Linked DNA regions of Callithrix jacchus. The protein of the gene in region 1 purifies or fractionates together with the protein of each later gene. This does not show direct contact. Links are inferred from orthologs where the notes say so. Each region holds a gene or a part of one and is shown in the gene's direction. Other genes may lie near its edges.

Region 1 (3,809 bases):
AGTTTGGAGTACAATGGCACAATCTCTGCTCACTGCAACCTCTGTCACCTGGGTTCAAGTGATTCTCCTGCCTCAGCCTCCCAAGCAGCTAGGATTACAGGCATGCACCACTACACCTGGCTAATTTCGTATTTTTAGTAGAGACAGGGTTTTTCCATGTTGATCAGGCTGGTCTCTAACTCCCAACCTCAGGTGATCTACCTACCTCGGCCTCCCAAAGTGCTGGGATTACAGGCGTGAGCCACCATACCAAGCCATGCCTGGCTATATTTGTATTTGTAGTAGAGATGGAGTTTCACCATGTTGGCCAAGCTGGTCTCCCAACTGCTGACCTCAAGTGATCCGCCTACCTCAGCGTCCCAGAATGCTGGGATTACAGACATAAGCCACTGCGCCCGCCTAGAATGAGTTTTCAAAAGCCTGGGGTGAGGACAGCGGGGAGTTTGAGATACCAGGAGGCCCAGGTCAGGAGGCATCTTTTTCTGTGAGCAGTATTCATGTTGTTCTTAGGCTCACCAATGCTTCTATTAGAAAATATGCTTCAGAGTTTAGACAAAAGTACTTAAAATGGTATCATTTCTACTTAAAAGCATAGAATGCCTTGCCTAAGAACAAATAGTGAAAGGATGAAAATTAGTCTTGTTTCAGGAACAGTGCTTTTTAAACTTTTCAGATCTTTAAAGATGTAGAGCAGACATCTTTAATCTGGGATCCATGGATGGATTCTCTGAAACTGTATGCATAGTTTTTGTCTACTATTTCTGGTGGAGGGGTTCACAGATTTTGTTAAACTATTTAAGAACCATTAATATATATAAACAAAGAACTAGTTACATAGCAAAAATGTCTAGTATCAAGTCTGGATATCAAGGGAATTTTGTGTTGACATGGCAAAAACATTAGCTAACATTTATTTCTTTGTTTTTTTCAGGGACACAGTTTCTGTGAAGGTATAAGACTATGTAGCTTTACCTGAATAACTGGGGAAGAGAGCCTTTAAGATGCTTAAATGTTGCTTCTTTAAGTTAGTTTTAGTTTTTCAAATTAATTTTGCTCCTATTCTTAAATTCTAGTATATGACTCTCAACCCTTCTACTAAGAGGAAGAATACTGGATCCCCAGACAGGAAGCCCTCAAAGAAATCTAAGACAGACAACCCTTCTCTGAGTTCACCACTAAACCCTAAGTTATGGTGTCATGTACACTTGAAAAAGTCATTGAGTGGCTCACCACTCAAAGTGAAGAACTCAAAGAATTCCAGATCTCCCGAAGACCATCTAGAAGAAGTGATGAAGATGATGTCGCCCAATAAGCTGCACGCTAACTTTCACATTCCTAAAAAAGGCCCAGCTGCCAAGAAACCAGGGAAGCACAGTGACAAGCCTTTGAAGGCAAAGGGCAGAAGCAAAGGCATCCTGAATGGACAGAAGTCCACAGGGAATTCCAAATCTCCCAAAAAAGGACTGAAGACTCCTAAAACCAAAATGAAGCAGATGACTTTGTTGGATATGGCCAAAGGCACGCAAAAGATGACACGGGCCCCACGGAACTCTGGGGGTACACCTAGGTCCTCTAGTAAACCTCATAAACATCTGCCCCCTGCAGCCCTACACCTAATTGCCTACTACAAAGAAAACAAAGACAGGGAAGACAAGAGGAGCGCCCTGTCCTGTGTTATCTCCAAAACAGCTCGTCTTCTCTCTAGTGAAGACAGAGCTCGTCTCCCAGAAGAATTGCGAAGTCTTGTTCAAAAACGATATGAACTTCTAGAGCACAAAAAGAGGTGGGCTTCTATGTCTGAAGAGCAACGGAAAGAATATTTGAAAAAGAAACGGGAGGAGCTGAAAAAGAAGTTGAAGGAAAAAGCCAAAGAACGAAGAGAGAAAGAAATGCTTGAGAGATTAGAAAAACAGAAGCGTTATGAGGACCAAGAGTTAACTGGCAAAAACCTTCCAGCATTCAGATTGGTGGATACCCCTGAAGGACTGCCCAACACGCTGTTTGGGGATGTGGCCATGGTGGTGGAGTTCTTGAGTTGTTATTCTGGGCTACTCTTACCAGATGCTCAGTATCCTATTACTGCTGTGTCCCTTATGGAAGCCTTGAGTGCAGATAAGGGTGGCTTCTTATATCTTAATAGGGTGTTGGTCATCCTCTTACAGACCCTACTACAAGATGAGATAGCAGAAGACTATGGTGAATTGGGAATGAAGCTGTCAGAAATCCCTTTGACGCTGCATTCTGTTTCAGAGCTGGTGAGGCTCTGCTTGCGTAGATCTGATGTTCAGGAGGAAAGTGAGGGCTCAGACACGGATGACAATAAAGATTCAGCTGCATTTGAGGATAATGAGGTACAAGATGAGTTCCTAGAAAAGCTGGAGACCTCTGAATTTTTTGAGCTGACGTCAGAAGAGAAGCTACAGATCTTGACAGCACTGTGCCACCGGATCCTCATGACATACTCAGTGCAAGACCACATGGAGACCAGACAGCAGATGTCTGCAGAGTTGTGGAAGGAGCGGCTTGCTGTTTTGAAGGAAGAAAATGATAAGAAGAGAGCAGAGAAACAGAAACGGAAAGAAATGGAAGCCAAAAATAAAGAAAATGGAAAAGTGGAGAATGGGTTAGGCAAAACCGATAGGAAAAAAGAAGTTGTGAAGGGTGAGCCCCAAGTGGATACAGAAGCTGAAGACATGATTAGTGCTGTGAAGAGCAGAAGATTGCTTGCCATTCAAGCTAAGAAGGAACGGGAAATCCAGGAAAGAGAAATGAAAGGTAAAATTTCATGCGAGAACAAAGGGGAGCTCTGTAGAAGATGGTAAAAGAAAGGAAATTACTGAGCTGATGGTGGAATCTGTTTGCTTACTTACTTCTCTATGTAGTAACCCAGCACCTATTGGTATGTATTTTATTTTTTCTTAGTTCTGTTGATAATTTCATAGTTTAGCTGGAGTGTTCAGCCTGGCATTCTGATTAGTTAATAAGTTAATGTGATATTGGCATCTTTTCTGGGTTTAATAAAAGACCAAATCCACAAATAGGCATAGTGGAAACAACAAAGAACTTGGGAATGGACTGAGCTAGCTTCAGGTCCCGGCTCTGACTTAGCTGTGCAGTGTTCCTTTGCGGGGGATAAGTAACCAGGTCCCAGCTCTGACTTAGCTGTGCAGTGTTCCTTTGTGGGGGATAAGTAACCAGGTCCCAGCTCTGACTTAGCTGTGCAGTGTTCCTTTGTAGGGGATAAGTAACCAGATCCCAGCTCTGACTTAGCTGTGCAGTGTTCCTTTGTAGGGGATAAGTAACCAGATCCCAGCTCTGACTTAGCTGTGCAGTGTTCCTTTGTAGGGGATAAGTAACCAGATCCCAGCTCTGACTTAGCTGTGCAGTGTTCCTTTGCGGGGGATAAGTAACCAGGTCCCAGCTCTCACTTAGCTGTGCAGTGTTCCTTTGTGGGGGATAAGTAACCAGGTCCCAGCTCTCACTTAGCTGTGCAGTGTTCCTTTGTGGGGGATAAGTAACCAGGTCCCAGCTCTGACTTAGCTGTGCAGTGTTCCTTTGGGCTGGATAAGTAACCAGGTCCCAGCTCTGACTTAGCTGTGCAGTGTTCCTTTGGGCTGGATAAGTAACCAGGTCCCAGCTCTGACTTAGCTGTGCAGTGTTCCTTTGCGGGGGATAAGTAACCAGGTCCCAGCTCTGACTTAGCTGTGCAGTGTTCCTTTGTGGGGGATAAGTAACCAGGTCCCAGCTCTCACTTAGCTGTGCAGTGTTCCTTTGTGGGGGATAAGTAACCAGGTCCCAGCTCTGACTTA
Region 2 (3,809 bases), on another chromosome or scaffold:
GGGACGCCCTTGCCAAGGCAGTGTACAGCCGCACCTTCAGCTGGCTGGTTGGGAAGATCAACAGGTCACTGGCCTCCAAGGTAAGGGCTGGGTCTGGGCTGCTGCAAGGTGGGAGGGAGGCAGAGGCGGGGCCAGGGCTGTGGGTGGGCTGGCAGACATCGCTGGGGCCATGTCTTTGGTTGAATGACTGCCCTAGGATGTGGACAGCCCCAGCTGGCGGAGCACTACCGTCCTTGGGCTGCTAGATATTTACGGCTTTGAAGTGTTTCAGCATAACAGGTCAGTGCCGCCTTCCCCTGTCCCGCCCTCCTCCTGGGTCTCCTGGCCTGGCCCCTCTCTTCTGTCCCCCAGCCTGATTCTTGCTCTGGGACTGCCCAGCCAGCCAGAGGGCGGCTCTGTGTTTTGTACTGTCTGTGCTCAGGGGCCCTGTCCTGCCTTCCACCCCTCCTGGTCCTCTGTGCCCTCTGAGCCGCGCTGGGCTCTTCTCTGTCCTCACAGCTTTGAACAGTTCTGCATCAATTACTGCAACGAGAAGCTGCAGCAGCTGTTCATCGAGCTCACGCTCAAGTCGGAGCAGGAGGAGTACGAGGCCGAGGGCATCGCGGTGCGTGGAGCCTGGGAACGCTCTCCGTGGGCACAGCCTGGGAGTGCTCTCTGTGGCACAGCCTGGGGGCACTCTCCGTGGGCACAGCCTGGGGGCGCTCTCCATGGCACAGCCTGGCTGTGGCTGAGGACGCTGGGCCCCCACGGTGATGCCTCCTTCCCTGTCCCCCTCAGTGGGAGCCTGTCCTGTATTTCAACAACAAGGTTATCTGCGATCTGGTGGAGGAGAAGTTCAAGGGCATCATCTCCATTCTGGTGAGTCCTCCAGGCTGGAGGCTGGTGGGGGAGTACCCCAGGTGCCCTGTCTCCTTCCTCTCCAGGCTGGCCCACAGAGGGCTGGAGTCAGGGCCTGGCCGGGCTGTGAATGGAGGGCGGAGGGAGTCGCTGCCAGGGTTGGAAGCTCCCTGCCGAGGCCCCCTGCAGATCCACCCCTCCCTGTGTCTGTGCCTCCCGTCATGGTGCCCCCATCTTCTCTGCTCTCTGGCCCCACCGCCACACATCCCTCCCCTGTGCCACACCCCCCAGGATGAGGAGTGTCTGCGCCCTGGCGAGGCCACAGACCTGACGTTCCTGGAGAAGTTGGAGGACACCGTCAAGCACCACCCCCACTTCCTGACGTGAGTGGGGCTGTGGACAGCTGGAGCAAGGTTCCTGTGGGGCAGAGCCTGTGGAGCACAGGCATCCCTCACAGCCGCAAGGGGGTGTCCAGGGAAGGTGCCGAGCTAAGGATCCCTCACAAGCACCCAGAAAACTGAGAAGCTTAGATAAGCACGCTGAACGCGTGAGTCTCACCTGCACAGGAGGCTAGGGCCACAGCTTCACTTGAGCCCTGAGTTTGAGGCTGCAGTGAGCGAGGATCAATCCACCTCCAGCCTCGGCCACAGAGCAAGATCCCATCTCAAAAAGTGAAAAAGACAGCTGGGCACATGGTCACATCTGTCATCACAGCACTTTGGGAAGCCGAAGAGGTGGATCTTTTGAGGTCAGGAGTTAAAGACCAGCCTGGCCAACATAAACCCTGTCTCTACTAAAAATATAAAAATTAGCTAGGTGTGGTGGGTCACACCTGTAATCCCAGCTACTCGAGAGGCTGAGGCAGGAGAATCGCCTGAACCCGGGAGGCGGAGGTTGCAGTGTCTCCAAAAAAAAAGACGACGTTAGTAGCCTGGTTTCCTCCCTATTCTTTTTTGAGAATAAAACTTGCTGAGATTTTTTTAGCTTCCTTATTTGGAAATTGCTTTTTATTGAAGGAATCCCCTAAAGTGGGGAGAGGTAGAAACAGGAACCAGCGGCCAGGATGTTCCGTGCGTCATTGCCAAACCTGAGCCGCTCTGTAGGGAGCTGTCCTGTTGTTCCTGCATCTCACGAGACTCCAGGGGGAAGTCCTTTCTTTCCCCAGGTCATCTCTCATCTGGGGAGCTGAGCGGGGCTCAGTCCCAAGGCTGTTGAATGCCAAAGCCATAGTATTTTTTTGCATAATAAGGCTTGTTTCTGGCCAGGTGTGGTGGCTCATGCCTGTAATCCCAGCAGTTTGGGAGGCTGAGGCAGGTGGATCACCTCACATCAGGAGTTCCTTGGCCAACATAGTGAAACCCCATCTACTAAAAATACAAAAATTGGTCAGGTATGGTGGCACGCACTTGTAATCCCAGCTGCTTGGGAGGCTGAGGCAGGAGAATCCTTTGAACCCGGGAGGTGGAGGTTGCAGTGAGCCCACCATTGCACTCCAGCTTGGGTGGCAGAGTGAGACTCTGTCTCAAAAAGGAAAAAACTTGTTTCTGGGAGTCTCTCTGAATCTATGCTGGTTTGGGGGCCGCATGATTCATTAAATAAAAAAAAAAAAACTTGTTTCTGGTTATAAAAATGATCCCGCTCGTTGGAGAAGCGTTGGAATGTTCGCAAAAGCCCCGTGAACCTGTCAGCTACAGGCCGTGGCTGTCAACAGCACCAGGCATTTCCCTCTGGCCTTTTTCCATATGTTTTTTTTTTTTTTTTTGTAGTCAGGAACTTATTGTATACAAGGCTTAGGGCAATGCTGTATCCTGAGTGTTTTCCTGCAGCATCAAACAGAAAGTTTTCTCAAAACCCTCCTTGCCGAGGCTCTGACCCACACACTTTTTCCTCTGGCCTTTGGGGGCCCCAGGCCAACCCCAGGTTTCTGCTGGAATCTCAAGGCTACCACCCATCTCCATGCTTCTATCTTTGTCTGTATTTCTGGTTATTGCCTGGAATAGTTCTTAAAAGTAGTAAGTGGACCAAAGGGTATAAACACGCCTTGGACTAACGTACTCTCTCCAGGCGGCAGATTCCATTCTGAAAAGCAGCAGGCAGCTCACCACCCCCTTTCGAGCAGAGCCCGAAGCAGCGAGAGTTGCCCTCCCTGCAGCAGCCCTGGCAGTCAGGAGGCCCAGGCCCTGGTCCTGGCACTGTGTGGCCCTGGGCAAGGCTGTCTACCTCTCTGAGCCACTGTGGTCTGTTCTGCTGGGGGAGGCTGCTGGCCCTGTCTGGCCTCCCACACGGCGCAGGGGTTACGACCCAGCCCTGGGGTGTGCCTACTCTTTGCTGGGTGGCTGGCTCCTGCTCCTGAGATCCCTCCTGCAGTCCGGCCACCTGCAGCTTCCTCCCCATCACCTCAGGCACAAGCTGGCTGACCAGCGGACCAGGAAATCTCTGGGCCGAGAGGAATTCCGCCTTCTGCACTACGCTGGGGAGGTGACCTACAGCGTGACTGGTGAGGATCCTGGGCTGGGTCCTCACGGGGGCCGCAGGGAGCCTCTGTCTCACCTCACATGTGCTCTCCCCTCCCAGGGTTTCTGGACAAAAACAATGACCTTCTCTTCCGGAACCTGAAGGAGGTGAGGGACCTGAAGTGGGGGCCGAGGGGGAAGGGGTCACCCACAACTCTGCACCTGTGTCCAGGGGCCTGTCCCTGTGCTCCAGCCTGACCCCGGCTCTGCCACACAGACCATGTGCAGCTCGAAGAATCCCATTATGAGCCAGTGCTTCAACCGGAGTGAGCTCAGTGACAAGAAACGGCCGGAGACGGTGAGGGGTGGGGCCAGGCGTGGGTGAGGGCTGAGCCAGCCTGGGAGCTGGCAGCATGCGTGTGAGCCCGTGTTGGTGCCCGTGTGCACATCTGTGGGTGTCTAGGGGGCTGCTTCTAGGTGCCTCTTTGGCTGCTGCTTTTTTTTTTTTTCAGACGGAGT

What was found.
Region 2: the proteins of BAZ1B (region 1) and MYO1C purify together in Homo sapiens (affinity purification with western blotting; 3 studies listed by BioGRID, with this or other methods). This does not show direct contact. The link is inferred for Callithrix jacchus from reciprocal best matches to the Homo sapiens genes BAZ1B and MYO1C.

Annotation. Positions count from the first base shown.
Region 1 is NC_133503.1:10,210,411-10,214,219, forward strand, and holds part of BAZ1B (tyrosine-protein kinase BAZ1B), read left to right. Parts: intron 1-1,073; coding exon 1,074-2,775; intron 2,776-3,809. UniProt on the Homo sapiens protein: Atypical tyrosine-protein kinase that plays a central role in chromatin remodeling and acts as a transcription regulator. Involved in DNA damage response by phosphorylating 'Tyr-142' of histone H2AX (H2AXY142ph).
Region 2 is NC_133506.1:66,755,659-66,759,467, forward strand, and holds part of MYO1C (unconventional myosin-Ic), read left to right. Parts: coding exon 1-80; intron 81-196; coding exon 197-279; intron 280-498; coding exon 499-604; intron 605-777; coding exon 778-858; intron 859-1,128; coding exon 1,129-1,220; intron 1,221-3,239; coding exon 3,240-3,334; intron 3,335-3,411; coding exon 3,412-3,458; intron 3,459-3,567; coding exon 3,568-3,648; intron 3,649-3,809.